4 linked regions of the Alligator mississippiensis genome follow. The protein of the gene in region 3 purifies or fractionates together with the protein of the main gene of each other region. This does not show direct contact. Links are inferred from orthologs where the notes say so. Each region holds a gene or a part of one and is shown on either strand. Other genes may lie near its edges. The genes, in order: EDC4, ASAP1, CRK and PEAK1.

Region 1 (7,838 bases), on a different chromosome or scaffold from region 3:
ATTACCAGTTTCTTAACATCCAGTTGACACCTACAGGGTTTCCCTAACAAAACCATTGCTTAGCAGATAGCAAATTTATTCCATCCAACTCCAGGGCAAGGCAACTAGCATTTACTTTTAGAAATATTTTGGAGAAGACAGGCCAGAGATGTAAACAGACATAAGATGGAAATAAGTAGAGATGTCTGCGAACACAGAGAGAAAATAAGACCTAAGGAGGAGGAATAATAATTACGATGGAAGAGAGATGAGAACGACAGAATAACCATAGTCCTAAATCAGTTTCTTGGCTCCCACCAGAAGTTTCTTCGTACTTTAGGAAACAGCCAGGCCACCTGAAACAAGAGAAGCAGTTTTAGATAACTATGGAACATACCTTCTTTTCAAAATCCAGGCCCTCTCTCTAGGCCCTTGATGGAGCAGATACTTGCCACTACAGTGATAGTAGAATGAACCTGGTTTTAGTGTAAGAGGCAGAGACAGTTCTGCAGTTATAAATTTGTTGCAATAGAGGAGAGAGAGAGATTTTAAAAAAATGGCACTGTAACCCTGGGCCTGCTTAAGAAACCAAAGACAAAAAGAAGACATTTAAAATAACCAAAAAAAGCTGAGATGAATTCACCCTAACTAACCACAAAGAACGGTTTCAATGTGTTACAAAACACTTTTGTGGGTAAATAAATAAATACATTCACTCAACACATGATTGACCGGTGGGATCACTCAGCAGGCAATGCAGATGATTGTTCCTGCTTTGGGAGAGAACAGAAAGAAAGATTTGAGACAGAGATCAGATTTCTTCAGATAAGCAGGACTAAAGAGGGTACAGTGAACAATCCATCATGGGAACAGAGGGACAATTCCAGAGAGACTAAGTGGCCCATCCAGACAATCCAGTAAAGAGCCTGAAAACAGAATGGGAATTATGAACCAGGAGCATCTGAGCTACTGGAGCAGCACTTGCTTACAGCTACTGTACCTCACAGAAAACAACCTATAAAGAAGTAAGTGAAAGGGAATCAGAGGGCATCACATTCCCCATTCCAGAATACAAGGGGTTAATTCTAATGAAGGCTCTATTTCAGACTATCCTTGGGCTAACAATCCAATCACATCATCAGACTGGTAAGAAAAGAAACTCCCCTGCAAACTCTCAAAAGTGAAGACAAAAAATGAAAACCAGGAAATTCTCTGTTAGCCAATCTTAATTCTGTCCTCATATTTCCTGCTCACCTTTTGTGTACGGACCAGGTAGTGTAACCTGCTCTCCATGGCTACATCAAAGGGGTGAAGATTCAGCCCATGAGACTAAAGAGGAAAGCAAAGTTGCCAGGGCTGCTACTGCCCATGTACATAGATTAAGCATCAAATGCTCTTATCAGGGTAATGGAATAAGAAGAGTCTTCGCCTAGATCAGGAAGACAAATAATTTCCAAATAGGTGGACAGTCTAAAGCTTGAGCATGGTTCAAGAACAACTACAATGGATATAACTACACAACAAAACGGAAGTGTTATAAATGGCTTGAACATAATCTACTCATTCAGACCACTGTTCTGAGCCTGCAACCTGGACAACACTGGGTGCCTCTGCACGTGGAGTAATACGTTATTGTTACTGTGCATTAAGTTTAGTACCTGGAATATGAAGTACTAACTAAATGCACAGTAACCTTTGCTATTGCACAGTAGCATCGGTGCACGGTCTTTTCATGATGCTTAATATGCAGCAGACTAATACTATTGCGCATTAGCGCAGCTTTTGCCATGATGTGCTAATGTGCAGTAGAATTAGTCTACTGCTCATTATCTTGTGTAGACGTGCCCACTGTGTATGGAATTAGAAACTTCTAAGGCAGCTGAGTGACAGTCACACGAGGGCCCTGTCAAGTAGCAAAGCGTCAGAAACATAACAGGTACTATTAAACCAAGGTAGGCCTCACCACTTACAAAGCCAGAGAAAGCTGATAGAGAGCTGCTGAGAGGAAGATGAACCAAGGGTTTAACACTCTTCTTTCTTTCACTATTTATTTTAACTTTCAAACTGAGCTAAGAAATCTAATGAGGCTTGAAGTACAGAAAACAGTACCTGCAGCTCAACATTTCAAAGCTTCTTGCCCCCGTCTCTCCTCCCCACCCACAACAGCCCTCCGAGATCCAGGCTGGCAGCCTGCGAGGGGGGCTCCTGTAATTTGATTTGAATGAAAGTAAATAGCTCGTCATGTAAACACATGTTGACCAAACTTGCCATGGGACCTGGCCAGTGAGGTTTTCTGCCATGTGCAGCAGGATGGTCGGACACACAAGATGTTCCCCATGGAGGCCCGTGCTGGCACGCTGATGCCCAGGGATGAAGTGCTGCAAGCTGGGCAGGGGCCCTGGAGGACTGAGCCTCTGAAACGAGGGCAAGAGAGAGCCTCCTGGGGGCTGCGTTCTGGCCACATCAATAATGGGGCAGTGCAAGTCAAAAATGCCAAGTGCTCCCTAACCTGCGTGACTGGGTCCAGAGAAGGGAATCAGACCCCTGCCCAGGGTGGCTGCTCTCAGCCAGCGACTGTTTGGGCAAGGCCTAGTTGAGGGACTGGCCTGGGAACCAGACCGGGCCGGACCACAGTTTACAGAGGGACCCACAACCTCCCGGGGAGCACGTTTAGGCTGCTGGACCCGGGGGAGCCCCTCCCCGCCTCACTCCTCCCCCCGGGGCGGCAGGGAGGGACCGCTGCAGGCTCCTGCCGCCGCCGGCGAGGGGACGAGCAGTCTTCGGCTCGCGGGGCCGCCACAGGCGGGGCGCGGGGAGCGAGCAGTCCCGCGGGGCGCAGGGATGCCCGAGGGCCGGCCCCGGCCCGCGGCGGCCGCGCCCTGCCCCGGCCGGCGGGCTCCAGCCCCACTTTCGCACAGGGGCGCCGCGTGCCCGGCCCGGCCCGGCCCGGCCCAGCAGCCTCACCTCCGGGCCGGTCCAGCTTGAGGATGTCGCGCAGGTGCTGGGTCGCGTCCTCGATGTCGATGCTGGCGGAGGCCATGGGCCCAGCCCTACCGCTGCCGCCGCTCCGCGCCCCCGGCCGCGCCCCCACTTCCGCTTCCGGTCCGTTAGCCGCGGCTCCGACGGAAACGGGCGCCAGCGCCTCGGGTTCCGCGCGAGGGGGCGGGGCCTGGGCAGCGCGGCCCTGGCCTGGCGGCGGGAAGGAGCGGAGCCGGCGGGCCGAGCCCTGCCTGCGGGCGGCAAAAGCTGCATCTCCCTCGGCAGCTCGAGGCGTCCGAGTCGGAGCCCGTGACCGCCTCAGCCCGTGGAAACCGCCGCCAAAGAAAAAGAGCGGCTCCCGGGTCCTGCCTCCCTGCAGGAGGCCTGCGCCGCTCTTTGCGGTTCGGCTTCCCCTGGGAGACCAGGCCCGCACCGGGAGCCTCCCTCTGCTCTGGGGCTGGGAGGAAACCTTAGTGCCATTTTCTCAGTTGACCTCTTTTCTCCTTGTCCTAATGGGCTGCCACCTCCCAGCTGCACAGAAGCATCTCTGCCCCAGGACATGTACATCTGACCTCCTCATCGTAGAGCCAAGGGTGGAGGTTTGCTCCCAGAACCTACTTTCAGCTCACTTGGGACCTAACCAGAACCCATCTTCCTCCAACCAAAGTAGCAGGGAATACTATGATCTCAGATAGATACCACTTTGCTTTCGCCTCAGCCCTTGCCTACTTTGATTGTAGTAGGCAAGGGCTAGAGGATACAGGATGCAGTACCCTGGCCTGCTTTCACTTGCTGCTTCTGGCTGAGTTAAAAATTACTTGCTTGTGCTTAACCTTCAGTTATGCCAGACACCTTATTAATGTCACATGGCACTTAGCATGAAATTCACAGCACTGACCAGGTTTACCACTGTGGGCCATACTGCAGGAAGGAAGGGATGTACTGAAGCGTGTGTCAAGACAACGTTGCAGGAAGGCTTCTGGCTGCTCTTGAGGGAGTGAAAAACAACAGCTGGCTTCCATTAGAAGAAAGCTCTCCCACCCAATACAGTTTGAAAGCACAGACGGCAGCTGCTGTCCCTACAACTACAGTTCAGGAAAGAAAGCCACATTTAATGCATTTGGGGAGATCTGAGATCTTCCCTTAACAAGAATTTCAGGTACTCAGAACAAATTTGGCCTGCTACAGAACTGGCATGACTTTAACAGCATCCTTCCAAGCACAGGGGTTGGGAAGGAAGGAGGGTGAGCTGGCAAGGGTCGTTAGGTTTAGTTACCTTTCAGTTAGTACCCAAAGATAGGAATGTTCCATTACAGCTCCACTGAATGGTTCTCAAGTCTTCTCTGGTTTTTTGAGTGCCGGGTCCCAGCCATAATTTGACCTCTACTTTCTAGGCTTGGGCTCAAGCAAGTAACATTTGTTAAAGAAATCTTTATTAACACATTTGTCACAGGTACAATCAGAACAAGCCAACATCATACAATAGTTTATATTAAATGTATAATTTTACTCCACATAACTGTTCACCTGATATTACCTGCAAAGCTATTGCTGAATATTGTCTACAATTTTACAAAGATGTTTTCCTCTAAGTATGTAGAATGCCCTCCATATGGTACTGTGTAAGCTCTCTCCCGACACCTACTGCCAAGTTTTATTCAGTAATACATAAGCAAAACTCTTGGTAACATTTTATTTTTACATCTAGTGGACAGAAATAATGACCCAGAGGTATTCTGAAGGAGGGTCACATTTGAAGTATTAGCTTAGAGAGAGGTAACGTAGTCATCCTATTTGTGACAAAAAGCATAAAGGCTTTCCAGTCCATTCACAAAAAAGCAGCTCTGGCATGATAGCTAATAGACCGGGCCAGGTGGTCATACATTTGGCACAGCTTTTTCACAATGCCTCTTGGGTGCCATTTTCCACAACTGAAGAAATTTCAAGTATATGGTGCAGGCTACCTTAAAAATTCTCCCCCTTCAGTTTGGGCCAGGATCAGAACTCATTTTCCCTAGCCAAGACAAATCTAGATATTTATCTATACTGCCTGCAACTGCAGTACATAATTGCCATCAAGAAAAATAAACTATAAATACACTAGGGTTGGAGGGTAATATTCACAATGAGAAGTTAATTGCAAACATAAGCTAGTCATTCCCGTCTTAGATGCAGAGAAAATGGTCTTCCCTTGCCCATCCTCTAGCCAACACATGGGAGTAGGTGGAGTGCCCAATGCCTGCAAGAATCACATTCAAGGAGTTTTCTTAAGGCACCTTTTTAATATGGCTATTAACACTGCTAATATTAAGGCCAACATGATGTTCCAGCCCAGCTAAGCATGAGATGGCTCCAAATCTCATTCAGTGTGGGCAGGACAAGACAGGCTGCTTAGAATAAGAATCTCAGGTATAAAGAATTCAACCTTCTCCCACCTAAGAGAATTAAAAGGGGCAGCAACTTTACTTGTCCCTATCCCTCTTAAAAGCCTTCTTAACATTTGAAAGTGACTAGTCTTCAGTCCAACATTTGCGACGAGAAATGGATACTAGTGCATGACCCATCAATACAACAGTTAATGTTGGACCAAATGGCTTCTCTTCTTAAAAGAAGTCCTTGAGCTGAAGCAGTTACTAAGAGACAGCAAGTTTGTCCGCATACTAAGGGCTCGAGGAATGCACTGGTTTCCCAGAAGCATTTTATGCAGCATTGGCTCACTTAGGAAGTAAAATTGGCACTTATGTCTCCTCTGGTTAGCGAACCAGGGCTGAACAGCAGAACGTGGAGAAAGGGAAAAGTATAATGTTATGCAAGAAGCTTCAAAGGGCAGCTAATAGCTCTCTTCTCTGAAGGTCAGAAAGGCTGCCAGGAACAAGAGGTCATATACTGAGAGATTTTTTTTTTAAAAGACCCATCAGGGGCATCCCTCAACTCTGGTATTTAATCTACTCACATGCTCTTAATCATCGAGTTGGTTGCTGATGCTCAGGAACCAACCAGGCTTGGTGGACAAGATCTTTCTGCAGACCAGGTTTGACTGGAGAGTCAGACCTTCTCCCTCAGATTCCAGAGTGGACTGGAAGCATTTGGAACTGGAGGCTAATACCATAAAGAAGGCTTTTCCAGTAGCTCCTGACCACAAAGAATGGCTCTTTTGTTTATATGGATCTTTCTCTTAAGGACTAATTCCTTGGAGGGATTAACACTGTGAATTATTTCTATGCCAAACGAGCATAATAGGAAATTCAGTATTCTATTTCCATTTAACTTTCAAACAGACAGTGAGGAATAGAAGAGCAAGTTACTGCTAATACTACTAAAAACAAAGACAGTACATTTATATCATTTTAGAGAGCCCCAAGATCAGTTTTCATGAAAGCTCAACTCCAATTTAGACACCAAATTAAGCGGCCAGAAATTCAGGAATTGAGCAGCTAAGCACATCATACTGAGTTTTCTTGGCTTCTTAAAAGTCAAAACTGCAGAGTTCTGTGCACTTTTGGAAAAAAAAAAAAAAAAAAAAAATCAGACCAAGCTGGGCATACTGAGCCCTTGAAATCTGGAACCAGCAGGCTATTCAGCTATGAAGTGAAGAATCCAATCCTATTTATGTGGCACTTTTTTATCTTGGAAAATATAAACATACTTGATAAATGCACTTCACTAGTGAAATGCTGCCACCCTTGGGGCAACATGTAGCAGCTGGCTGCATAATATTAAGAACACTATGCACTGGTTTAGGACAGAGTACAAAGAATGCCATACCCAGCTCAAAACTGCAGGACAGGTTTAGATAAGCTAAACCAGAACAGGAATTTAGCCAGGACACTGAAGCTAAATGCAATTTTGAAAAAGGAACCAGAAACCCCCTCAAGGTTCTACAGACAATTAAGGAAGTTGGAAGTTATATTACCCAGTGTTTAAACACAGGGGAAATACTGCTGGCATATTTAGCAGGGAAGGCTTGGCAATGACTGACATCACAGCAAGTGTTATGACAGATATCAACTTATGCAAGTCACCAGGATTGTCAAGATTATGCATTATCTTCTGTTTTATGTAGAAAGATTAATATATTAAAGAAAAAACTTCAAAATCGAGTATTTTAAAGGGGAATATCAACATTTGAGCCCAAAGCCTCCACGCTGAGGGGGATAGGGAAGAGAAGATATCTATATCTATGGCAAAGGCATATTTGCCCTAACCTGCAACAGTAAAACATGGATGGAGTGTTCTGTTAGCACTAAAAGGTTACAAGGGTTTTAGATCTGTAAACATTTCCCAGAGAGGCAGACACGGGAGAACCAAAGAATTGACTGTAAAAATTTACAGTTATGCACTCATTAAAACAATTTAAACTGTTAAGAAAATCTCATGGTTTTATTGTGTAATGTAGCATTGAAACATCTGAACAAATGAATATCTGGGCTGTATAGGCTGCTGTTCTTTCCTTTCATTTCTTTGGGTTACTAAAGCAACTTGTCAGTACATAAACAAGCAACCTTTTGCATTATGGATTCTTTCCGAGGCATGCTGGTACAACACAAATTTCTCTTGTCAAATGCAGCTAAGTCTAACTTCCAAACATCATGCACAAGGAACTCATCTAGTGACAATGTAAACTCAGCAGAAGGGCAGATCACAGGTCTTGCTCACTCACTCGCTGCGGTGTTGCAGGTTTGTGTATGATATTTGGAATGTTCCGTGAGTGTGAATAATATCAGGAAGAGGAGAAGAGAAAGAAAGCACTGGTGCCTGGGGGATGCCAGCTCAGCCAAAGTTGTGCAACGCTAGCCTGAACATGTCATTGGTGCAAACCCAGGCATCGTTGATGTTCTTTAATAGAAACATCTGGTGGAATCCCATGATTGGATCTTCAT
Region 2 (7,434 bases), on a different chromosome or scaffold from region 3:
TCCACTCAGGGTCAGACCAATCATCATATTTGGGTCAGGAAGGAATTTTACCCCATGGTCACATCGGTAGCAGAGGGCACGACCCTCTACCTGGGATCTCTTGAGCATATACTGACAACCTTTTATAGAAGTAGGACATTGGCTGATGTGGTTTTCCTGCCTTACCTGTAGCAGGTTAGGGTATTAGGTCTATGTTGTGTCAGATTGATGGTAGTCTTATGTAGGGTTTAAATTATGGGATGGTTTGGACAGGGATGATCCTGCTTCAGGCAGGGGGTTGGATTAGATGACCTCTGGAGGTCCCTCCCAGCCCTACTTCTCTATGAGTCTATGACTGTCCTGTTCACACATGCCTATAGGTAGCTGGACTGAAACTACTGCATTCTGAATATTTAAAACTAGTATTTTAGTTACTTGTATTTAAAGAAAAATAGCTTTCTGCAGTTGCAGAAAGAGTTCTAAATAATGACTAACGTCCAAATCAAACTAACTCTAAAATATTTGAGGGCTATGTTAAAGAAAAGAAAAGGAAAGGAAGAGAGAGGTCACAATTAAAAAAAGCACACACAAAGAAGTAAAGTTTATGCTTCTACACTTCCTGGTTCTGGGTGTGAGCAAAAGAGGAAATACCAAAATACCACCAGAAAAGCTATTTCCACCGCATTTCCAGCGTAACCCAAACCAGAAAGCACAGAAAAAACACTTATTCTCATTAGATTGTCAACCATATTTTCAAGCCCAAGAGACTGATAAGCCTTTTTCAACATTTAATCTCTGCTCACCCTCTGAATTTTCTGACATTTGACTATCATTAGGGACTTTCTGATTTAGAAATTCATTCATTTCAGGTTCCTACGAGTGTTGTAGATAGGCCAGTTTGGAGATGAGACTATCAACTAATAGCCAAATTAATACATTGTCTTTTCCACACAGCGTTATCACCAAAAATCTAATCTGATATATCCCTATGTGGTTCAGAAGTTCTCACTCACATCCCTCCTTGGTTTCTATTGAGCTGTTCATCTGATTGTAAGTGTCTGTGCAAAGTGTGGTATCTTGACTTTCCATGTATCAAGTAAAGTAGTGATTATTTTCTTTTCAGCATCACAACCTGAATACAAGGAAAACAGCATAGCTGCCAGCTTAATGGAAGGAAAGGAGAAAAGGCTTATCCTGTCAGCCTTGCTTACAGAAATCTGCTGGTGACTTCGACTCACGCTTTCAGGATTCAATCTAAAGTACTGTGCTAGACGTGGGAGGACTAAAAAATGCCATTGTTTAGAACCTCCAAAATCTTCACGGACCTGGATGAAGCACATTAAAGGCAGTTTCCATTTACAAATGCAAAGGAGGCAAAGCATTTTCTCACTTTAAGGTACCCAGAATTTTAATCTGAAAGCTGCCTTACTACCTGAGACCCGCAATATTGAAAATTAAAATTCAGGAAGCTTTCACTATTCCACTGGGAGGACAATGCTGAAGTGTAAATATTTCAAGTAAACTAAAAACTACCTCCAGTGCAACTGTTGCCTAGTATCTAAGCAATTTCTGGGGCACTGTAATCCCCCTGCCACAGCAAAAAAACCCTCAAAGTAATTCAGACAACTTAGAAAGGTTCAGCATCACTAGATACTTATTTCAGGGCACAATAAAATACATTACAACAGGGCAGCTTCTATTGTGGACAGACAACATGCTCACGTGATTTCAATGGGAGATGTGACTTGGTGAGGTCTGCAGGATTGAGCCCTAAGAATTCCTCTTCAATTTTGAGGCCATCAGACCCTGCATTTGTGACTGCGGCTCTATTAAAAATGTATCGCTAATGCCACTCTCATGCACCCTCCTATTCAAAAGCCAAGTTATAAAGTTCATTAAGCCTTATATTTTATTCCAGTTTCAGAAATGATTCGCTGCAGTGTATCTTTAAGTGATTTTCCTACAATACAAAACAGTCCCTTTTTTGGCCCCTAGTAACACACTGCACCCAATTATCACTTTTGCTACTCGTTTTTGGGAAAGATGATAGGAAAAAATTGGCGCATTGATTCTTTTTGCAAAATTCCTTTTAAAACTAGATGAACAATGGCATGCAAAAGGGCCTAGGAGAGATATCTTTACAAGCCAGATATAAAATCCCTATGTTTTTTAAAAGCCTTTGTTGTTAAGATGAAGATATTGTACTATACCAGCAGTGGCCCTAAACCTCCAGGATCTCTTTCTCACAGGAACAATTCTTAAAATTAAGGAGGCTACTCCCGTGAGTAGGGGCTCTTTGGAGGAGGAAGCATTTTCAGAATTGAGTCCACCTGTATGTTTTGCTCAGGTAAAGTTCATTAATGGTTAGCTTGCCCTGCAAACAGCCCGCATGGCACAAAAGTAAAAATGGGCTTTACCAGCATTACTAACAAATCCTAACTCTTCAGTTGCAGGGATCTATGTCTTTGATTAGCGGTTCACACGCTCCCCTTCGGTCACTGTCTCAGCACTAAAGGTTACAATACCAACCACACCTCGGTGCAACGGGCTGGAACTCACCAGGACTTGTGCGGTTTGAATTCCCATTCCAAATTTGCTTCTCAAACCTAAGGCCATTATTCCATCTTAGGCTAAAATATATTCTCCCACAAGCAGCTGAAAGAGACCATGTTTCTTCAGTTATTAATCCCAGTAAGACAAAAAATCAAATCCAGTGCAATCCAATGGAGGAGGATCCACCGAGTTCTGGAGGTTAAAAGTTTTGGTTTGCATCCATGAATGCCCTGAGCGGTGAGAAGACACAGGCACTACAACTGGGAAGAGAGCAGGAAGGAAAGCCAACCATGTGAGCCGCACGAACAAAAAAAGCGTCTGCTCACGGGGCAGCACTTGGGTTGATAGCCAGGATTTCAGGAAATCCAAACACTCAAACAGGAAATCTGAACACTGGATAAACATTCCAGAATCTCCGCAGATACAGTTAACATGCCGCGTCTCCCCTTAACCCTTCCCCTGCTGACAGCCAGAGCTGAAATCAAACCTGCCTTGTAACCTAATCTGTCCAGCGGGGTTCAAAAGTCTAAACAGCTTCTCATTGTGCATTAGCCTGGGCAGCAAACACCCGGCTTAAACCCCTTTTGATTTGAAAACCTAACAGCCGAGAAAGATTCTCCCTCTATTGTTCTTGATTTCTGCACGGCAACGTTTCAGTTAAAAAATGTGCAATTTTTTTTTTTTTAGGTTAGTATTCCTTATTTGACAATGAAATGATATTGCAGTTGAATACTGCAAAAGCAGAATAGTGAAGGTCTGTGCTGCTAAGCATGTTCACTTATTAGTCCTGTGTTTGCTTTATTACCATCTAGATTTTTTTGCGTACTTTTTTCCCCTCTCTTTTGCTGTAACTTCAGATTTCTACAGCTTTTTATGTGTTACTTTCAGGGTACCACTTGATGATTTATTATTCTGCTGACTGCAGCAGAATGGGGGAAGGGCAGTTGAAAAATGAGAGAGAGAGAGAGCTCTTAAAGAAACAGGGAATTAAAAAAATATATATACTTTTACTCCATTTTGTCAGTTACTTTAGGTGCAAACCCTGCAGCCTGTATTAAGGGAAAACTTCAGATGAAACAAGGAGAGTGCTGCCTAAGGAAGGACTTTCCACTTTGTCTTTTGATTTATTTTCCATTGTAAACAAATTACAGCAACAATAAAAACGCCAGCAAGTTGCTGTGGTTCTTGCTTGTGACATCTTTTGGTGTTTTCTGTAGTTATTTTATTTGATTTGGAGAAAATATCAAATTAAGGTTCTCAGCACCCTTATTATTTAAAGACCCTATAAAGTCTTTTGCAAAAGCAGGTGGATAATTGATCCCTGCTTTTGCAAATGCTTATATATGTACTTAACTTTGCGTGTAAGCAATCCCATGGAAATCCATGAACCATTCAAATGGACAAAGCCAAACACATTTGCATTGGCAGGATAGGGACATATTTATGTTTTCTGAAATGTAGCCTTGTGTGAATTCTTTATGTTAATAATTCTTACTTAAGGCAAGGTCATGATGCTATGAATGCCTTGCCTCCCATCTCCTTTACAAGTTCACTTATTTCATTGTAGCTCAAACTATATAACACCTGCCTGAGGTAGCTGGATCTTCCTGAGTCCTTAAAAACGTTACACATGGGAGCTAGCACACTGAATTTCATGTTGCCAGCAAAGGGTACTGGATATAGGAATAATCTGCTCTCATTCATCCACATTATTCAGCAGTGGATAGCCACATTCTGCACCAGCTAGACTGTTCTCTTCTGGAAATCCTATACTCCAGGTATATGTAATATACCTTATATTGTACTATATAGACAGTAAATCCAGGCATCCCAAAGTGATGAGCATGATGGATTTGTCATTTCTTTTAGGTTCAGCTTCTTACTCTGCTTTTTCATAGATTTCATAGATTTCATAGACATTAGGGCTGGAAGGGACCTCGGAAGATCATCGAGTCCAGCCCCCCGCCCAAAGGTCAGGAAGTCAGCTGGGGTCATAGGATCCCAGCAAGATAAGCATCCAGTTTGCTCTTGAAGGTGTTCAATGAAGGCGCTTGAACCACCTCTGGTGGCAGGCTGTTCCAGACCTTAGGGGCTCGGACAGTAAAGAAATTCTTCCTTATGTCCAGCCTGAAATGGTCTTGAAGTAGTTTATGACCATTCGACCTAGTCGTCATCCCTTGGGGCGCTCTGGTGAACAAACGTTCCCCCAGATACTGGTGGTCACCCCGATAAACTTGTAGGTGGCCATCAGATCACCCCTGAGCCTGCGCTTTTCCAGGCTAAAGAGCCCCAGGGCTCTCAGCCTGTCATCGTAGGGTCTGCTTCCCTGACCTCTGATCATGCGCGTGGCTCTTCTCTGGACTCTCTCAAGCTTCTCCACATCCTTTTTGAATTGTATGCTCCATCATGGTTGTATCCAAGTCCTTTTCTGAACAGGCTTGGGGAAGATGCTCTGAAGATGGGTCAAGCCTAGAAGCTCAGTCCTGTCTATTTAGGTAGGTCATTCCATAGCCAGGAACATTTCACCAGAAATATCTTAACTCCAGCCCGGAGTTTCAGTCTAACCATAATTATGAGCACTGTCCCAGAACACGGTTGTTCTGGTGGATCTTGTATGAGAAAGTACCTCCAAGTCCATCCTCCCTTTCCCAGCCCAGAGGGAGCAGCAGTGGGCCCGACAGAAAAGGTGATATGTAGAAAGGTGCTTCCACTTTACTCTTTTCCTCACATTTTCCCAGAGAAAGCAGCTTTGTTTGCTGGCCTGTTTGTGAGTCATGGAAAGTTGAATTCCTCACAACCCCCCATCATTCTTTTCCTATCTGCCAGGATGCCTAAGGCCACTGATATCACTGCCATAAATTAGAGGAGCTGGCACCCACAAGGTCTTGCTGAATTTAAACTTGGAGGGTGGAGCACAGGTTTGCAAAGCTAGACTTTGAAAAAAGGCCCAGAAAGTTGCTCTGTTTGCACATGGCTTGAACTCTAACTAAAGAATCCTTATAAATACATCTCCTAAGAAAACACCAGTTTAGCTTTAGAAATGCAAAGTTTTCATTATGCAGAATGCAGTAGGTGAAAACAAATGCCTAATGGTTTCCTAATGATGTAAGAAGTCGAGCTGGGGGAAAAAAAGCAAAAATGTCTGTGTCCTTTGCATGCCACAATGACTTTATTCACTTTTTTTTCCAAGAAAGTTCTCATTTCCTCAGTTTTCTTCTCACCACCTCTTTTCTTTCCCCCTTTGTTTCTCTGCTCCATGCTTTTAGTGGCAAAAGAAAGACAGGGTAGGATCAAAAACAGCAAAGAAAGACAAGATGGATTGTTCATTTTTCCCATTTTATTGAAAATAAAAACTATTGTTTCTGAAACACTCCCCCTCCACCCCCATTTTCAATCAAAATGCTTTTCATTTGAAAACTATGAGTCAGATGGAAGAAAGCAGTCAGGAAGATGGGGTTATGATGGACTGCTACTAACATCTGCTGTAAATCTGTTAGAGGTCATCTGCATTCTTTTGTAGGCCAGAACTCACTTCAGGGTGAGCAAGGAATAGCAATAAAAAGACAGCTTACTTTAGCCAGTTTTACTGTACACTGGACATGTCTACAAATGCCCGATTGCACAGTTGGTACTGTGCAGTCTTCTAGTGCTTGCTAAGGTACTAAATCCCATGTACTAAATGACTCCGCAGTATCTGCCAGTACTGCGGGGTCCTGGCAGCGCACGGCTCATTTTCAGCCCTACTGCGCAGTAGCTCGTTGCTACAGCACAGTAGCGGTGGTGTCACTGTTAGTGCCCGCTGATGCTACATCACCGTAGCGATGAGCTACATCGCCATAGCTTGTTGCTATGGCGACATAGCATCTCGTGTAGATGTGCCCTTTAAGTACCATTGCTGTTGCTTTTATTTCCAGTATTGAAGCAAATGGTTAGATGCAGGGCTGGTTAGAAAAATAGTTCTCTTTTTTTTCCCCTTGGAAAGTTGCAAAGAAAACAACATTTTCATGCGTTTCTTCTATGGAAAATTTTGATTTGTCAAAAATTAAACCCCAATCAAAATTAACCTTTCAGTCAAAAACTGCTGAAAACCAAACAAGGAAAAAAGAAAATACTGAGAAAAAAGGCTGCTTTCTGTGAATACGTTCATTTGATCAAAGCTTGGTTGGCTATTGGACAGGTGTTACTGGAAAATGTTATGATCAGTTCTAGTCAGATGGAGAAGAGTAAGCTGAATGTTCAATGGAATGATAAATCTGATAAAAACAAATGATAAGGAAATGTCCTGCAAAAACAAAGGTAAAGAAAAATGTGGAAGTGATAACACCGGAACTATGAAACCAAAAGGCAAGGAAAGACTATAAGTGCTGCAGTATCCACTAAAGAAAGGTCTGTTAATTTACTGAACTAGATGAGAAGAGCCTTGACACTAACTTAGAGGCTAGGGATAGAAAATACACATAAACTGGTATATATAATTGGAAACCAGTTCAAATCTGTAACACAATAGAAGTTCAGTGTGCATAAATTGCTTTTACAATGGCCAAAACCAGTTTAAGATAAACCTGGATGGATGTTGTATCAGATTTAACAGATTTAGGTTAAAGCAGTTTATTGAACTTCTCCAGATTCAAGTTGGCTCACAATCCCCCAGCATCCCAGGATGCTTTGCACCTCCCCCACAACCCACCTCTGACAGGGTATGCCGGCTAGCCTTGGCCCAAACTGTCTGCTCCAGGTGAGCAGGGAGGTGTACTCTAGCACCCACCGGCTTCTAGCTTGGGCCACTGCAGGGAGGTGGCTGCATTTCCAGAATCAAAAGTGAATGTCTGTTCACGTGCTTACCGGTTCAATCTACACAGTTTAGACTAACCTGCAAAGATTGAATCAGTTTAGCCTGGGTTG
Region 3 (7,445 bases):
TGCGCATGAGGGGGAGGGGGCCCATCCCGCACTCAGGTCGCGGGCTACAGCCTCAGCAGCAATGCCCAACACCGGGCTGTAGTAGGGGCCCTCGCATCGCTCTTGTGGGGCTGGGCCTGGGCAGGGGAGAGCCTGGGGCAGGAGCAGTGCAGGGCTGCAGGGCAGGACTGAGGTCTCTTCCGAGGGGAGAGCAGTCCTGGCCACAGGTGCCCAGGAGCAGAGGGCTGGGCCTGCGGGGCATTGACAGGAGCGGGGTCTTTGTGCAGGAGTCCAGGACGAGCAGCGCGCGTCTCTGCTGGGTACAAGTGGGGGCTCAGCCAGGGCCGAGGGGCAGCCGGGAGAAATAGGGGGCTCCAGGACAGGGGTGAGGGGCACCCCGTGCTGGGGGGAGGGGGGCTGAAGGGTAGGATAGCGCTTGTTGGGGGCTTTGCCCCACTCCGCTTCCCCGCCTGGAGCCAGCTTGAAGGACAGGAGGGACGGCAACGCTGAGAAGTTTTCTCAACAAAGTATGTGAATACTCTGCACGCGTGCGCAACGTACGCGTTGTCTGCAAAAGTGAGGACACTGCTGTGTACACAGAAGCGAACATAACGGTGGGGAACGCGTTACACCGCTGCCCCTCGCTACGACGAGTAGCAGGATCCCTGCGGCTGTTACGGTGTGTATTGCGCACGCGCGCCCCCCCCCCCTTCTTGTGTGTGTCACACCCGGGACAGTGCCGAGTTCTTGGACGTCCATCTCGGAGCGGCACGTGCTCTGCGCCGCGGGCCCGCAGCCGGGCGCCAGAGCCGGCGGGAAGTCTCGCACGGCTGACCCCCGACGGCGGGCTTCCGCGTCGTTTTCTCTTTAAAATAGAGAAAATCAGCGCACGTCTTGTTAGCAGCGATTCGCCTCCCCTCCCCCGGCCGCGCCGGCGGAACGGGCCCGCGGGGATCGGAGTCGGACCAATGGGCACACGGACAGTGACACTCTCACCAATCCCAAACTCCAAATAGACCGCGGAGAAGGCGGGAGACCACCTGGGCCCGCCTCCTCCGGCAGAGGCCAATCAGAGCAAAGAAGGGCGGAGCGGCTCTGACCCCTCCCATGCGGCCGCTCCACCCAATCGCCTCACGCCTCGCTGTAGCCAATGGAAACGCGAGGCTGCGATCCCGGCCCTGCCGCGCTCCCCACGGGCCGTGTGTCCTCCCCGAGCAGCGCGACGCCGCCTGCCCCGGCCGCGGGCCCTGCCCCCGAGCCAGCCAGCGAGCGACGCCTTCTTGCTTCTTCCCTCCCCGCCGGGATCTCCCGCCTGCCCGAGCTGCAGGGGCGCGGCCGGAGCCGCTTCACTCTCGGTCCCCGCCCGTGTCTCCCGGCTGCAGCGCGCGGTGCGCGCCACGGGGCGGCAGCACTGAGCGCGCTCTGGTTTCTCCGGCTGTTCGCTGGCTGCCGGGCCCAGGGCGGCGCTCCGGGCCGGGGTGCCGTGCCCCGACCCCCGGCCGCCAAGCGCCGTGCGAAACATGCGCCGAAGGCACCGAGCCGCTTCCCGCCCTGCTGCCCCGCTGCCGCGCGCGGGGCGGGGCGGGGCGGGGCGCGGCGCGGCGCGGCGCAGGACGGCAGCACGGCGGGGTTGGTTGAACACTGCAGGGAGGGATGCGGGACACGGGACTGACGGACCCGGCCCCTGCCCCTGCCCGTCTAAACACGTGGCGAGGCGCAGGCGCCGTGGCATTAGGAGAGCTAAGCGGTTCCCTCCCCTCAGCGCGGAGACGGGGCGCGGCGCTCGGCTCACGCTGTTCGCTGCGGCGCGTCCTGCGCACACGCGGAGTGCAGATCTCGGGACACACGTCGCTGGCACACACTGCTCTGTCTAGGTGCAAGGTCGTCGAGTGCACAGCGCCGAGCACTGGCGCTTCAGTGCCCTGCTCCCCACATGTCACACCGCGGTCCCAAGGCCGCGCTAGAGCTGGGCTGAAGCGAGGCCTGCAGTGTTTTCCAAACAGCCACGGGCTGTCCTGTACCTTAGAAAAGAGGCAGCATCGGGCCGGGAGCGGGACACGCGCGGCCTCCGGGCCATGGGGCGTCCCCGCCCCTCCCTTGCCAGCCCGGCACTGCCTTCTCCGCGCCCGCCGGTCAGCTGAAGGGCGCCGCGGGGGATCGGAGTTGGACCAATCGGCAGGCAGAGCTATGCACACTGTCAATACAGCACAATAGCCAATCAGAATGTGGCCCAGGAGGGCGCGTTCCTCTCCCCGCCTTTTCTCTCCGCACAAACCAATCAGAGCGAAATAGGAACGGAGCCGTCCTAGTCCCGCCCACACAACCCTCGTAGCCAATCACCGCATTCACCTCTGCCAGGTGCCCGCCCGGGTCTCCCCGCCGCAATGCCCCGCGCGGCCACAGGAGGGCGGCTCTGAGCCCGGCTTTTCCTCCGCCTTCACGGACTGCGCCAATGCGCCGACGGGACCACAGGAGGGCAGCACCGAGCAGCGGGTTCGTCAACCCTCTGCTGCTCCGCTCCTTGTGGCTGCAGTGCTCGGAGCGCACCACCGGGGGGCAGCACTGAGCCGGGTTTGTCTTCACACCAAGTGCGGATGCGCGAGACACCTGTGATACCCGCACTCACTACAGACACTCGTGTGCGGTGGTGTGCAAGGGTGAGAGAGGAACACCTACATCACTATCGCCACTGAGAGAGACAGAGAGCGGTAGGAATAGGATCACTGTGTTACACACACGCTATGTCCATGCCGGTACACCCCCGTACTGCACTCCTCTCTGCACAATGTAAGTTCTTCAAAGTAAGCGCCGCAATGACCAACGCCGTCACTGCACCCCTGCTCTCAGTATTGGACTGCTCTACACCAAAGGGCCCAAACTCTCCCTAGAAGTGAACCGAGGTTTCCATTTTATTTTCCCGTTAAGAAGGGGTAATTTGGTGCTTTGCAGGGTGCTCTCCAGGGAGGTCTCGGCGTCAGCGCAGAAGCGAACGGTGTCCGCGGGGCCCACGTGCACCCCGTCGGTCACCGCCCTTCTGGCGTTGGTCTGTGAGAGCCTGGCTGCCCGCGCCCGGGGTCGCAGGGTCCCGCACGACCCGCCCTGGGCGCCAGAGCAGCTGCCGCAGCGCTGCGGGCCCGCCCGCGGGGGCCCGGCCCGGCCCGGCCCGGCAGCGGGACGTGGGCTCCGGCTCAGCGGGCGGCGAACGCGCCGGGCTGGGGCGCTGGGGATCGCAGTCGCCCAACATTTCCCGACAGCCAATCAGAATGAAAGCAAGGGGCGGGCGAGCCCTCAGGGCCCGCCTCCTCTGGTAGAAGCCAATCAGAGCGAAGCTGAGCTCTCCCGTGCGCCTTTCCGAGTGACTCGCAGCTCTGCTGACAAAGACAGCGCCCAACGGGAGCACGAGGCTCGGATCCGGCCCTGCCGCGCTCCCCGGCCGGGATCCATGCCCGAGAATCGTGCGTCCGCCCCGAGCAGCGCGAGCCGCGCCGGCCCCGCCCGCGGGCACTGCTCCGGTGACGCCCCGAGCGAGCGCGGCCTTTTTCCTCTTCTCTCTCCGCCCCTGCCCCGGCCGCACCGCGCAGCGCAGCGCAGCGCAGCGAGACGCACAGCCCGGCGCGCTGTCTCTCCGCCCTCGCCCCTGGCTGCAGTGCCCGGCGCGCGTCACGCGAGGGCAGCACCGAGCAGGGTTTTAGTTCCCTGGCTTTTGTTCCCGGCTGCAGGGGCGCGTTTGTGCCACAGGAGGGCGGCGCGGAGCCGGCTTTCGTGCTCTGCTCTGGTGGCCCGGTTGCAGTGGGCGGGGTGCGGCCCAGGAGGGCAGCACCGGGAGGGGTTTGGTTTGGTTTGGTTTTGACCACGCTACGCGGATGCATGAGTCCAAACCAGTTCGGTGTGTATGAAGTGCAGCTATTAAAATACACTGAGCTGCAAAGATCATATTTGACTACCTAAAGCGATTCCCCTTGTTGCGGAAGGAGGAGGAGAGAGGGATAGATCGGCAGGATCACTGTGTTTATTGTGGCACGTGCTGTCATGCATCCCTCGCTACTAGACACATCTCGGCACAGTTTCAAGTTCTTCAAAATAAGCGCGCCGTCAGTCAGCACGGGACTCTTGTACAGAAAGCATCCCCAGCTGCCCACTAGCATTGAGCCGCAGGGATTTCTTCCAGTTCTCACTGAACAGCAACGGGCTGGTTTTCATTTCTTTCTTTCTGTAAAGAAGGGGGACTGAAAAAGACCTTCCCGCCTGGACCGCGGACCACGTGGCCGAACCGGGCCATGCCCCCGCCCCTTGGAGCCACCGCGCACAGAGATGACGTTGAGCGCTGGCGCGCGACACGTCACTTCCGGAAGGTGAGGTCAGCAGAGGCGCCGCCATTTTGGGTGGCGGGCGGGCGCGCGGAGGGCCGGGCCGCGGCGCAGGGCCTATGGCCGGGCAGTTCGACTGCGAGGACCGGGCGAGCTGGTACTGGGGGCGGCTGAGCCGGGCCGAGGCGGTGTCGCTGCTGCAGGGGCAGCGCCACGGCACCTTCCTGGTGCGCGACTCGGGCACCATCCCCGGCGACTTCGTGCTGTCGGTGTCCGAGAGCTCGCGCGTCTCGCACTACATCGTCAACAGCCTGGGGCCGGCGGGCGGGCGGCGCGCGGGCGGAGAGGGCCCCGGCGCCCCCGGTGAGTGCGGGCTGCGGGGGGGTCGCGGGCTGCGCTCAGGCCGCGTCGCCCGGCCCCGGCCGCGCTCCCCCGCCCCGCCCCGCCCTGCCCTGCCCTGCCCTGCCCTGCCCCGAGCGGAGCGGAGCGGAGCGGAGCGCGGCCCCGACCCTGCCGCCTCCTGGCGCGGCGCGGCCAGCCTGCGGCGCTACCTGGCCTCGGGCGGGTGCGGGCGGCCTAAACCAGGAGACACGGGGCCAGTCTTCCTGCTGCGCCTGGGGGCCGGGCCGGGCCGGGCCGGGCCGGGGCGGGTGGCGCCGAGGCCCTCGCTTGAGGTAGGTGGCCTGAGGCGACCCGAGCTCCGACATTGCCACCCGATCCAGGCCCCAGCCGTCCCCCCGGGGCCCGGGAAGGAACAGCAGCATTTACGGAGTTTAAAATCTGGTGTTTATCTAAAGGGAAATTGAACAGGAAAATTCAAAAGTTAATTCAAATGTCCTTCCAAAGTTGATATTTGAAGAGAAATTGAATTGGACCTTCCTGGAAAAGAGTTGTATTGCGTTCTTTTTTCAGATCGGGGCCGTGACCGTGATGAGTTTTATGATTTCTTTAAGGGGCGCTTTGAGATGCAGTATGGCAAAGTTGGATGCGATTTGAAAAAAAATAGCCAAGTAATATTTAGCTACAGCATGAGGAACACGCCTCGTCTGTGGGTATCTCACGGTAACGATGTTTGCGGGGAACGCCGGCTTGCTGCCGGGTCACGCGCTGGGCGCAGGCTCGGTCCGGTGCGGCTGGTAACACGATCCCCGTGTCTGTATAAACAGGAACATGGAATAGGAGACGTCTTACCTGGGTGTGTGGCAGCAGTAGAAGCATAGCATACAACGTAGTTCTAGTGTTCGCATTGAAAAAAGGAGTAGAAAAATTGGGACCTTTTGGAGGAGCGATTACAAAGGCTGGATACTAGCCTTTATTTATTTATTTATTTTTTTACAAAAAAGTGTGTGTGTGTGTGTGTGTGGGGTGGGGGGGGATATATTCTGTATTTCCAGCAATAACACACTGAACACACTGTTGAAGTTGACCTGGCGTATACGTTGTTTTGAAAAGAGAGTATTGACTGTGTTCAGGAAAATTAAGTTAGATATGGGTACGTTGCTTAGTCTGTTGAGCCTATTGTCTTTTGCTTTGTGGCATGCATAACATTTGATTTGTAGGATTTATAGTAATTTGGTAACAGATTTGTGATTCGTATACTTTGTAAGGCTGGTTGGGACCTCACTTTTCCAGCTCTAGCTTTTCCCTCGTTTATCTTGACTACAGAAAAAATAATAAGTAGAGTAGTTCTTCTGTTGCAAAGAACTCAGACCATAGCAAGTCAGGGGTTTAATGCAGTGGATCCTTATGTGAAATCTCTGGGTTTATCTCGTGAATCATGTTTGTACACCTGAGAGTGTTAATGTGTGGCAACCTGCATCACCCTTGAAAAGAGCTCGAGGCAACCCAGGGTGCTGCAGCACCCCAGTTGAAAACCACTGGGGTAGAGAGTGGGATTTTAAAAGGTACAGTTGAAGAGCACTGGTCCCACTATTGAGTTCCTAAGTGACTTAGGCAAGCTTTGGAAGTTCAGTCAATGTGTTCAGGACCTTGAATAACCATCCTGTGGTGGTGTGCATTGCACAACACTGGCTAAAACTTCTTTTATTTTGCATATGGGCAGTTCCATTTAACAAAGTGAGATTACTTATGTGTAGGTCTTCCCATGTTTGAGGTTTGGAACCTTTCTTCCTTTTTGTGTCTTTGTGACAAGGTATTTAGCAGAGCTCTCAGATTCACTGCGATCTGGCAGGTTGCACGATGAGAACTTCTGCTCGGGCCTTGAAGTTGTGGTCTCTGGGCTGTCAACTGTGGGCCTTGGCACCCACACTGCCCCAGGGCTTGGAGTACAGCTTGTTAAGCGTTTAAAAGGCCACGCATCAGAAACTAACTCTGCTTCTGCCCCCTACTCTTCCGGAAGTGGATAGCACGATGCATCTCTTTTTGTAAACTAGTTTCCTAATGTGTTTACAAATCTGCTCAGGAGGTGTTGGGTTGTTACACGCTTTCAGCAGGGTAATGAGTAGATCTCTGCTAGGTAAGGAAATGAGTTTATGTTGCCAAATGTATAGTAGTAATTTCTTTATTTGTAGCTGCCTTTCCAGTTTGAAAAATTCCCTTTAATATCAGCAGATCATGTTTGCGTATCACATTGTTTATGATGCTTCATACTAAAAGTATATTTAAAACAAAAAAAGTTGGACTTTGAGGGGTCACGTGTTTTTTGAGATCTATTTAACAATACAGATACAAAAACTAATGAATAGAATAGCCAAAATCTATTAAAGAATGGATTTATTCTAGCTCATCATGAGAGCAAGAGAAATGATTGATGAAAATTGAAAAGCAGCTCTATGAAATAATGTTCTCTTGTCTTTCTAGGCTGCAGCTTCGTTTTTCAGTCATATTGAGTAATTACTGCATCTGCTCATTTCCAAAGTATTATTAATGATGGGAGGATGCAATATGTCCTAAAAAAATAATAGCATTTTGGTGTGCATAGTCGTAACAATTGTCCACTGACTTTTCAGGATGCTCTCTTGAAGCATTGCTTTGTCTCGTATGCTGTAAACTTCCTGTCCCACCTGTTTGCAAGATTGCACTATCTTGTTCTCCTCAAGAATCTGGCACTGTCGGGAGAAGTGTTGAGATCAAGGGAGAGAGAGATCTCATGCTAGTGCAGACATGCATGCACATGATTTGAAGGCAACACATTCTGAG
Region 4 (7,854 bases), on a different chromosome or scaffold from region 3:
AACGTGACTTGATATTATCCCATTAAACTTGTTCCAATTAAAAGACAAAGCCAAAATATTAAGCTGTGAATAATATTATGTTTTTGGTGTTAGAGAAAGTGAGAAGGAGAATTTGGGGTTATTATATACCAGTAATTCAACAGAGAAGAATTATAAAATCCAGATCACAGGTCAGACAAGGTTCCTTGGGTGAATTTGATCTCTTTTTTTAGACCAACCCAAATACTTTCTCCAACTATTTGGGTTGGTCTAATAAAAGATATCAAATTCACCCAAGGAACCTTGTCTGCCTACGTCCTTAGACCAACACGGCTACAACCTAAACCAGATCACAGGTCGGATATTTTCATTCTCATTTTCTATCTTTAATGTCCCTTTTTGTGACAGATATGCTTACAATATTCACATCTGCAATACATCCTCATGAGACAAATTCTCCCTCACCTACAGCCGAGACACTGTATTTCGATATCCCACTAATACAGGAACGTGAACTGTGACACACTGATTGCATATGACGAAGCGGCTCAGCAGGATTCCATCATGAATAGCAACTCAGGAAGTGGAAATAAGTGTGGAAAGTGGCAGTATATATGGAATATCTACTGTATGATCAATGCTTAATAAATTCTTTTGAAATTCTGGCTCCATTCGTAAAGAGCTCAAGAGAAAGTGGACCCAGCAGCCAGACACGCAAAACAAGGCAAAATACTTCAAACCAATGGCAGCAGCAGAAGAGAAAATCTTGTCAAAAAGTGACTAGATTGAAGAGAAGTAAAGAAAAACAATAGTCAAGCCCATCAGATAATGGAGGGGATGTAAAAGGCCACAAATTGAAAGAGGAAAAAACAAAGATACAGAAGCATAAACATAACAATAAAAGAGAAAATGGTCTAGTTTCACCTTGCTTTTGGGAATGTAGTTTTCATGTACCTCTTAAGATGACAGAAACATAATAGCTATTGTTAACATTTCTGATCCTAAACAATAACTTGTGATCACACTGCAGTTCATAATAAAACATTTAATTTTCTCCATTATATCAGAGACCATTAAAGATCTGTTTTGTCCAAATTCTTCTCCCTGTAATGGAGCTAAGCATGAATTTATTGCAATTAATTCAGCTATTTTGTAAGCATATGCATGACTATGCACTTAATTAAAACTCTAGAATGGGAATATATGGAGTTACATAAAAAGAAATCATTTGTGTCACCAAAGGTCTGGAACAGTCCTTTGCACAAGTACATATTATGTGTTTATTTTTTATGTTAAAAACATAATCATTACATCTCTTGATTTAGGGGAGACTCCTTTTACTCAGGCGCTGCGACTTCTCAAAATCATGTCATGCTGTGAAAAAACCAATATATAAGAAATTCAATGGCCTGCATCCCTGCAGGAAACTACCCACAACTTTAACAGCTCGCATATGTGAAATTGTAAATATTAAAAAGAAAAGCTTACTCTGGTTACTAAACTCATTCCTTGGGGTTAAAGTTGTGTTTGTTAAGTACTGGAAGGAAATACATGAAATGCAATGGCAGGCATCATTATGAGTGAGTCAGAGTGATGATAAGTCGCATAAAAAACAGAATCTGGAAATACACTGAAAGGAGCCATCTCCACAGATGCTCTGACAATAAGGTAAACCCATCAAGGAATGAGTACGTAGGATTACTCATGGAAAGTTACTCATGGAAAGTGGATAACTCACTACTTACATACTTCCACACTGCAAAAAGCAACATGAGGTTTTCCTGAAACACACACTACAGCATTAGGTTTGCCAAGAAGATGCTTCATCTGGACAAATCATCAGTTTCTACTTCGGCAAATTAAAAATCTTTCAGGTAATAAAAACTAAAGGTGAAACCAGGGGAAGCCTAGACAAATGACCAAGGAAAACGTTCTTCGTCTTCTACCTTGCTACTTGGGATCGAACTGCAGAACTGACCGACAACCCCTCTCCTTCACCAAAGACAATGACACAAAATTAAATGGACTTAAGTCAGAATAGGTATGACCATCAAGTTTGTAAACTTCTGCACTGTGAAGCCAAGGGAGTTTAAATGGCTTGTGGCAAAACCCATTGTTTAATTTCTAAAATTCCATCTACTGTTTTTAAGGCAAAGGTCTCAAAGCCTCCACCTTGAATTTTAAAACAACTCTCCGGCATCGTTTTAGACAATTCTTCCTGTCAGGCGCCCCCTGACAAGGAGATCCTGCCTAGGTTCACAGGCTCAACCCCCCCCCAAACCAACCCAACAAAAAAACCCACTCAAGAGTTAAGTACTTCAGCAGACATGAATCAACCTTTAAACAGCCAGGGGAAGGGGGGGAGGGGGAGGGGATCAAAGCCCAAAGAAATCTGAGCTGGACAAAACAAAAGCAGCCAAAAAATAAAGCCCCCGATTCACTCCAAGTTGGGAGACGCATCAATGAACGTTTCTCCTCCTGGTGCCAGCTCAAAGAACCGGGCGTCTCGTGCCAGGACCAGCTGCCGGGCAGCCCAGACACTCGCGGGCCCTCACCCCGGCACTGCAAGAGGAGTGAACAGCATCCCGGCCTCCACCCGCCAGCCTGAGGGGAGCCGAGAAGAGCGAGGCACCGTCTGGAGCCAAGCCCCGACGAAGCAACAGCAGCAGCAGCGAAGGGCGGGGGCGGCCTCGGGGTCTCGCTCCGCTCCCGGCGCCCAGGCGGCGGCGGCCGCGTCCACACGCGACACTAACGGCCTCCGCGGCCACGGCGCGCGCGGGCGGGGCACGGGACAAGGCGGCTCCGGTTCGGCGCCCCGGGCCGCGAACAGGGCGCCGGCGGTGGCTCCCGGGCGGGGCGGGGCCGGGCTCGGGGCGCCCGGGACCCTCCGGCCTCGGCCACGAGCAGCCCCGCCTCCGCCTCAACTTGGCAGAGAGGCCGCCGGAGCGGGGGGAAGCCCTCAGCCACTGCCACGACGGCCTCGCACCGCCCGGGCCCCGAGGCAGGGGCGCCCCCGGAGCGGAGCGGAGCGGAACGGGACGGACCCCCCAGCCCCCGCGGGGCACTGCCCTGCCCTGGGCCCCCCAGTACCTGCGCGGGCTCCTGCTGCGCGCGGCGCGGGGCAGGAGCAGGGCGCGCCCGCCCCGGCTGCGCTGCGGCCGAGCCCCGGGTCCGGGACGGAGCGAGCGCCGGAGCCGCGCGCACCACGACTTGCTGCGCCAGCGCCAGCGCCAGCCCCGGCCGCCGCCGCCACCGCGGGCCGGGCCAGCCCCGCCCCCTCCGCCGGGCCAGCCCCGCCCCGCGCCTCGCCGCACCGCGCCCCCCGAGCTCTCTCGGCCCCTGAGCTCAGTTCTGCGCATGCCCGGCTGAAGCCGACGCGACAGCACCTCATCCATTGGCCGGGATGAAGCGCGGTCGGAGCGTTCCGGCCGGAGAGACTACAACTCCCGGCGTGCCCCGCGCGCGCCCCGCCGCCGGCCCCTTTAAAAATGAACTGGTTCCGTTCGTCCCTATGGTGCGAGTGTTCTTCCGTCGTGGTGGGGGGACAAAGTAGTTCTCCGCTCTTTCTTAGTCTCGTTCTTTGCCGTGGTGGAGGGAGTGTCCGGTTCTTTCCGCTTCCTCTCTTGGCCCCCGGAGGAGCTTCCCCACAAGTGAGGCAGAAGTCTGGGAGCGGGGGTGCGAGGGGGCGGAGGGATCCAGGCTAGGGTGAAGTGGCCCGGCCGTGTGGTGGTGTGTAGTGCGAGGAACGCGAGACGCGGCTTCGCGGGGGCAGCCCTCCGGCAGCGGCGGCCGCGCCAGGTCAGTGTGGGTGGCGCTGCCTTGCTCCCCGCGGCCGGGCGGGGCGGGGTGGGGTGAGGTGAGGTGAGGTGAGGGTGGGCTGGGCTGGGCTGGCGGGGGCAGCGCCCCTCTCCGTCCCGCGGCTGGGGACCGGTCTCGTGAGGCCTCGCAGCGTCCCGCGCTCCTTCCCCCCTGCCCGTCTGGGCCCAGCCCGTCCCCCGAGGAGCTGAGGCACCTGGGCCAGGGCCTGCTGTAGGCGAAAGGACGTGGGGAGGAGTCTCCCTCTATGCCCCCATTGAGGGCGACGAGGTGTCAAGGTGGTGGTGATGGGGGTTTACTTTGCCTTTTAGGTTATTAATGCCCCCCACAGTAGGGAGCTTCCTGATAACATCTTCCCCTTGGAAAATCCACTTCAGCGCAATCTGTTCCCTGAACATGAGGGCCTGTCCTCGCCCAAAGGCCTCCAGTGCTCTGCTTTGCCTTGGAGCAGTGCTGCTGGAGCAGGTGTCGTGGCACAGTGGGGTGCTTGAGGTCCCTTCGTGGCACTCGGCAGGATCCTTGTAGTGGTAGCACACGTAGGGGTGGAAATGTGAGGCACAAGATGAGCCCAGCAGTTTCAGATAAGAAACCACAGTGTTTAAAGTGGTTTTGAATGGTTGTAAGTAACTTGGAATGCAACAGAAGAATGTATTATTATTTGTATGCAGGGGTTTAGGTTACAGCCGTGTTGGCCTAAGGACAGGCAGACAAGGTTCCTTGGGTGAATTTGATATTTTATTATTTGTATTATTTTTGTTGGGTTTTTTTGCTTTTTTAATTATCTTTATTTTATTTTTTCTGTATTATTTTTTTCCATAGTCAAAACACGAGTGAAAACTAACCTGATATTTTCCAAGGGGTGCCTTGCATCTAAAAACATTGCATCTAAAAATGCTGAGAATGGCCTGTAGCTGTGTAAACCTGACAAGAACTCGGTCCTTTCACTCTTGCTGTGAACCAGGACTGAAATAAACACAGCTGAGAGTTGTGAGTGTTACAGAGTTGTTGCTTAAGGAAGCTAGGAGCAGCTGCAGCCCCAAGTCTTCAAACAACTTGAATGGAAGAGTGAGTTGTACCAATCTTGTATCAGCCAGAACTTGCAACTTCATAGCAGTCAGGTTGCTCTATGGTGTACAGAGAAAACAAGTGGAAGTGAGAATAATCTGAGAAGGGCCTCAGGTTTAAATTGAGTTCCTTCTGTCTGGAAGTTGACATGAAATGCTGATTCCTATTAGGAATCTACCAGATTCCCAATTCCAGACAAGTTAGACAGTGCCATTCCTACTGGGACTACTGTCTGAAATTGGGTGAAGGGAAGAAAATTATATTTATCACTTCTGTGTAAAGTTAACTGCTTGCTAGTAGGGATCTGATAATTATGCCCCCCCTCCCACCTTCCCCATAACTTTATCCCTCCCTATGTTGCAGATGAGGGAAGATTGAGGCATTTGGGTAGATTAACTTCCTTAAAGACCATATAAGAAATCAGTAACAAAGTTGGGAATAGAACTCCAGAGCTCTGCATGTTCACCAGAGTACACTTACTGTCACTGTAGAATGGTGTGTGATGATTTTTATTTTTTTTTTTAAGTATAAACCAAAAAATATATTGTGAACAGACTTGTTTTCATGATAGCACCTAAGACATTAACAGACCCACATGTGTAGCAATGTGCAGGTTACCTGCTTTTATTCAAAGTGAAAACTCAATATGATTTTTATTTTCATATTTTTTCTAACACTATATTTGCATCGAACATTTGCTGGCAGAAGCAACTGACAACACTAAAAATACTTTGTGTTTTATAGTCTCATCTATCTAATGATTACAAAATACTTTGCAAAAACAGAGATCATAGTTATTTTAAAACAGAAGGAAGTGACATTCCTGTCTCTCTCGGAGTCTCCAATAGATCTGAAGATCGACCTTGGCATGTTTGATCCTAAGGAAAACTATTATTATGGGTAAAGTAGAGGATATGGATTAATCTTAAACATTTCAACCTAGGGTTCAGCAAAAAAGAATCGGGTGCTTTTTTTCATTGTAGAACCAGCTCTATTATCCAGAAGTAGATTCATAGATGTTAGGGTCGGAAGGGACCTCAATAGATCATCGAGTCCGACCCCCTGCATAGGCAGGAAAGAGTGCTGGGTCTAGATGACCCCAGCTAGATGCCTATCTAACCTCCTCTTGAAGACCCCCAGGATAGGGGAGAGCACCACCTCCCTTGGGAGCCCGTTCCAGGCCTTGGCCACTCGAACTGTGAAGAAGTTCTTCCTAATGTCCAGTCAAAATCTGCTCTCTGCTAGCTTGTAGTCATTATTTCTTGTAACCCCTGGGGGCGCCTTGGTGATTAAAGCCTCACCAATTCCCTTCAGTGCCCCCTTGGTGAACTTATAGGCAGCCACAAGGTCGCCTCTCAACCTTCTCTTGTGGAGGCTGAAAAGGTCCAGGTTCTCCAGTCTCTCCTCATAGGGCTTGGTCTGCAAGCCCTTAACCATACGAGTGGCCCTTCTCTGGACCCTCTCCAGGTTATCCGCATCCCTCTTGAAGTGTGGCACCCAGAATTGCATGCAGTACTCCAACTGCAGTCTGACCAGCGCCCGATAGAGGGGAAGTATCACCTCCTTGGATCTATTTGTCATGCATCTGCTGATGCACGATAAAGTGCTATTGGCTTTTCTGATGGCTTCGTCACACTGCCGACTCATGTTCATCTTGGAGTCCACTAGGACTCCAAGATCCCTTTCCACTTCTGTGCCACCCAGCAGGTCATTCCCTAGGCTGCAGGTGTGCCGGACATTTTTCCTTCCTAGGTGTAGCACTTTGCATTTCTCCTTGTTGAACTGCATTCTCTTGTTTTCTGCCCACTTGTCCAACCTGCCCAGGTCCGCTTGCAGCTGTTCCCTGCCCTCCGGCGTGTCCACTTCTCCCCATAGCTTTGTGTCATCTGCAAACTTGGACAGAGTACATTTCACTCCTTCGTCCAAGTCGCTGATGAAGACATTAAAGAGTATTGGTCCCAGGACCGAGCCCTGCGGGACCCCACTGCCCACACCCTTCCAGGTCAAAACCGACCCATCCACCATGACTCTCTGGGTGCGACCCTCTAGCCAATTCGCCAATAGATGTGAAAGATGAAGTGTGTGGACTTGTATTTGGGCCCAGAGGCAATAATCTGGCAAAAAGCCTGATTCATTTAGCATTGCTGGCTGTGCAAGGAGGCTGATTTCTACTAGGTGGGTATCTGCTATCCCTAAGTGGGGCTCACCTTTTTATCGGCATATTTCTTAGAAGGAGGGGGTGGGGGCAGTAGGAATGTAGTCTGGTTTCTAACCTTCTGTCTAGAATGTCATTGCTTCTGTGAAGTAGGAGACCTCCATTTTTCTGTTCTTCATGTTCTTGTTTTTATTCTATCTCTTTCAACTAGGGGTGCACTGATGGTGATTCTTCTTGCGGGGTAGGGGGAGCGACAATACTGATGGCCCACTCTTAACGAGCCATATCAGCCAATATCAATCTGATTGCCAATATGCAGCCCGGCAGCATGGAGAGCAGCATCCGCCTTGTAAGTCTGTTTTGGGGGGAGGGAAGGGATGTGGGGGACTCGGTCTGCCCCCCACACTGCTTCCTTCCCCCATGCCCTTTCCTCCACAACAGACTTACCAACCAGACACTGCTCTTCACACTGTAGACCTGTGCTCCTGGCCACCTGTGTGCTGTGCTGCAGCTGTGCACATGCACGTGGCATTTATTGGCAGCATTATTAACTACATCAGCCAAAAAAAGTCGGTTGCCAATAATGTCAGTTTTCCTTTTATGAATGCTGATATGGTATGGACCAATGTAGTGGTGCAAAGCTATGTTGACAATTTCACTGAAGCTCATAAACTTCTGAATAAAAAGAGAGAAGCTGAGCAGGATATTTGCTTCCCAGCGACATGGCAAAGTTATGATTACCAGAGACTGAGGAGCTATTTTACAAAGGCATCTCTATACTGATACACTTGCTTTGTGCTTGAAAAATTATCTTTTTGACTATTAGAGCTAGAAATACT

Evidence for each region.
Region 1: the proteins of CRK (region 3) and EDC4 purify together in Homo sapiens (affinity purification with mass spectrometry; 3 studies listed by BioGRID and IntAct, with this or other methods). This does not show direct contact. The link is inferred for Alligator mississippiensis from reciprocal best matches to the Homo sapiens genes CRK and EDC4.
Region 2: the proteins of CRK (region 3) and ASAP1 purify together in Homo sapiens (affinity purification with mass spectrometry; 3 studies listed by BioGRID and IntAct, with this or other methods). This does not show direct contact. The link is inferred for Alligator mississippiensis from reciprocal best matches to the Homo sapiens genes CRK and ASAP1.
Region 4: the proteins of CRK (region 3) and PEAK1 purify together in Homo sapiens (affinity purification with mass spectrometry; 4 studies listed by BioGRID and IntAct, with this or other methods). This does not show direct contact. The link is inferred for Alligator mississippiensis from reciprocal best matches to the Homo sapiens genes CRK and PEAK1.

What each region holds. Positions count from the first base shown.
Region 1 is NC_081833.1:34,088,605-34,096,442, forward strand, and holds the start of EDC4 (enhancer of mRNA-decapping protein 4), read right to left. Parts: upstream 3,083-7,838; 5' UTR 3,020-3,082; coding exon 2,944-3,019; intron 1-2,943. Other genes in the region: NUTF2 (nuclear transport factor 2), read right to left, coding at 7,729-7,838. UniProt on the Homo sapiens protein: In the process of mRNA degradation, seems to play a role in mRNA decapping. Component of a complex containing DCP2 and DCP1A which functions in decapping of ARE-containing mRNAs. Promotes complex formation between DCP1A and DCP2.
Region 2 is NC_081826.1:16,088,729-16,096,162, reverse strand, and holds the start of ASAP1 (arf-GAP with SH3 domain, ANK repeat and PH domain-containing protein 1), read right to left. Parts: upstream 3,058-7,434; 5' UTR 2,539-3,057; intron 1-2,538. UniProt on the Homo sapiens protein: Possesses phosphatidylinositol 4,5-bisphosphate-dependent GTPase-activating protein activity for ARF1 (ADP ribosylation factor 1) and ARF5 and a lesser activity towards ARF6.
Region 3 is NC_081837.1:283,985-291,429, reverse strand, and holds the start of CRK (adapter molecule crk), read left to right. Parts: upstream 1-4,344; 5' UTR 4,345-4,405; coding exon 4,406-4,649; intron 4,650-5,631; exon of another isoform or gene 5,632-6,686; coding exon of another isoform or gene 6,687-6,762; intron 6,763-7,445. UniProt on the Homo sapiens protein: Involved in cell branching and adhesion mediated by BCAR1-CRK-RAPGEF1 signaling and activation of RAP1.
Region 4 is NC_081834.1:29,249,799-29,257,652, reverse strand, and holds the start of PEAK1 (inactive tyrosine-protein kinase PEAK1), read right to left. Parts: upstream 3,207-7,854; 5' UTR 3,070-3,206; intron 2,628-3,069; exon of another isoform or gene 2,535-2,627; intron 1-2,534. Other genes in the region: HMG20A (high mobility group protein 20A), read left to right, coding at 4,853-4,860. UniProt on the Homo sapiens protein: Probable catalytically inactive kinase. Scaffolding protein that regulates the cytoskeleton to control cell spreading and migration by modulating focal adhesion dynamics. Acts as a scaffold for mediating EGFR signaling.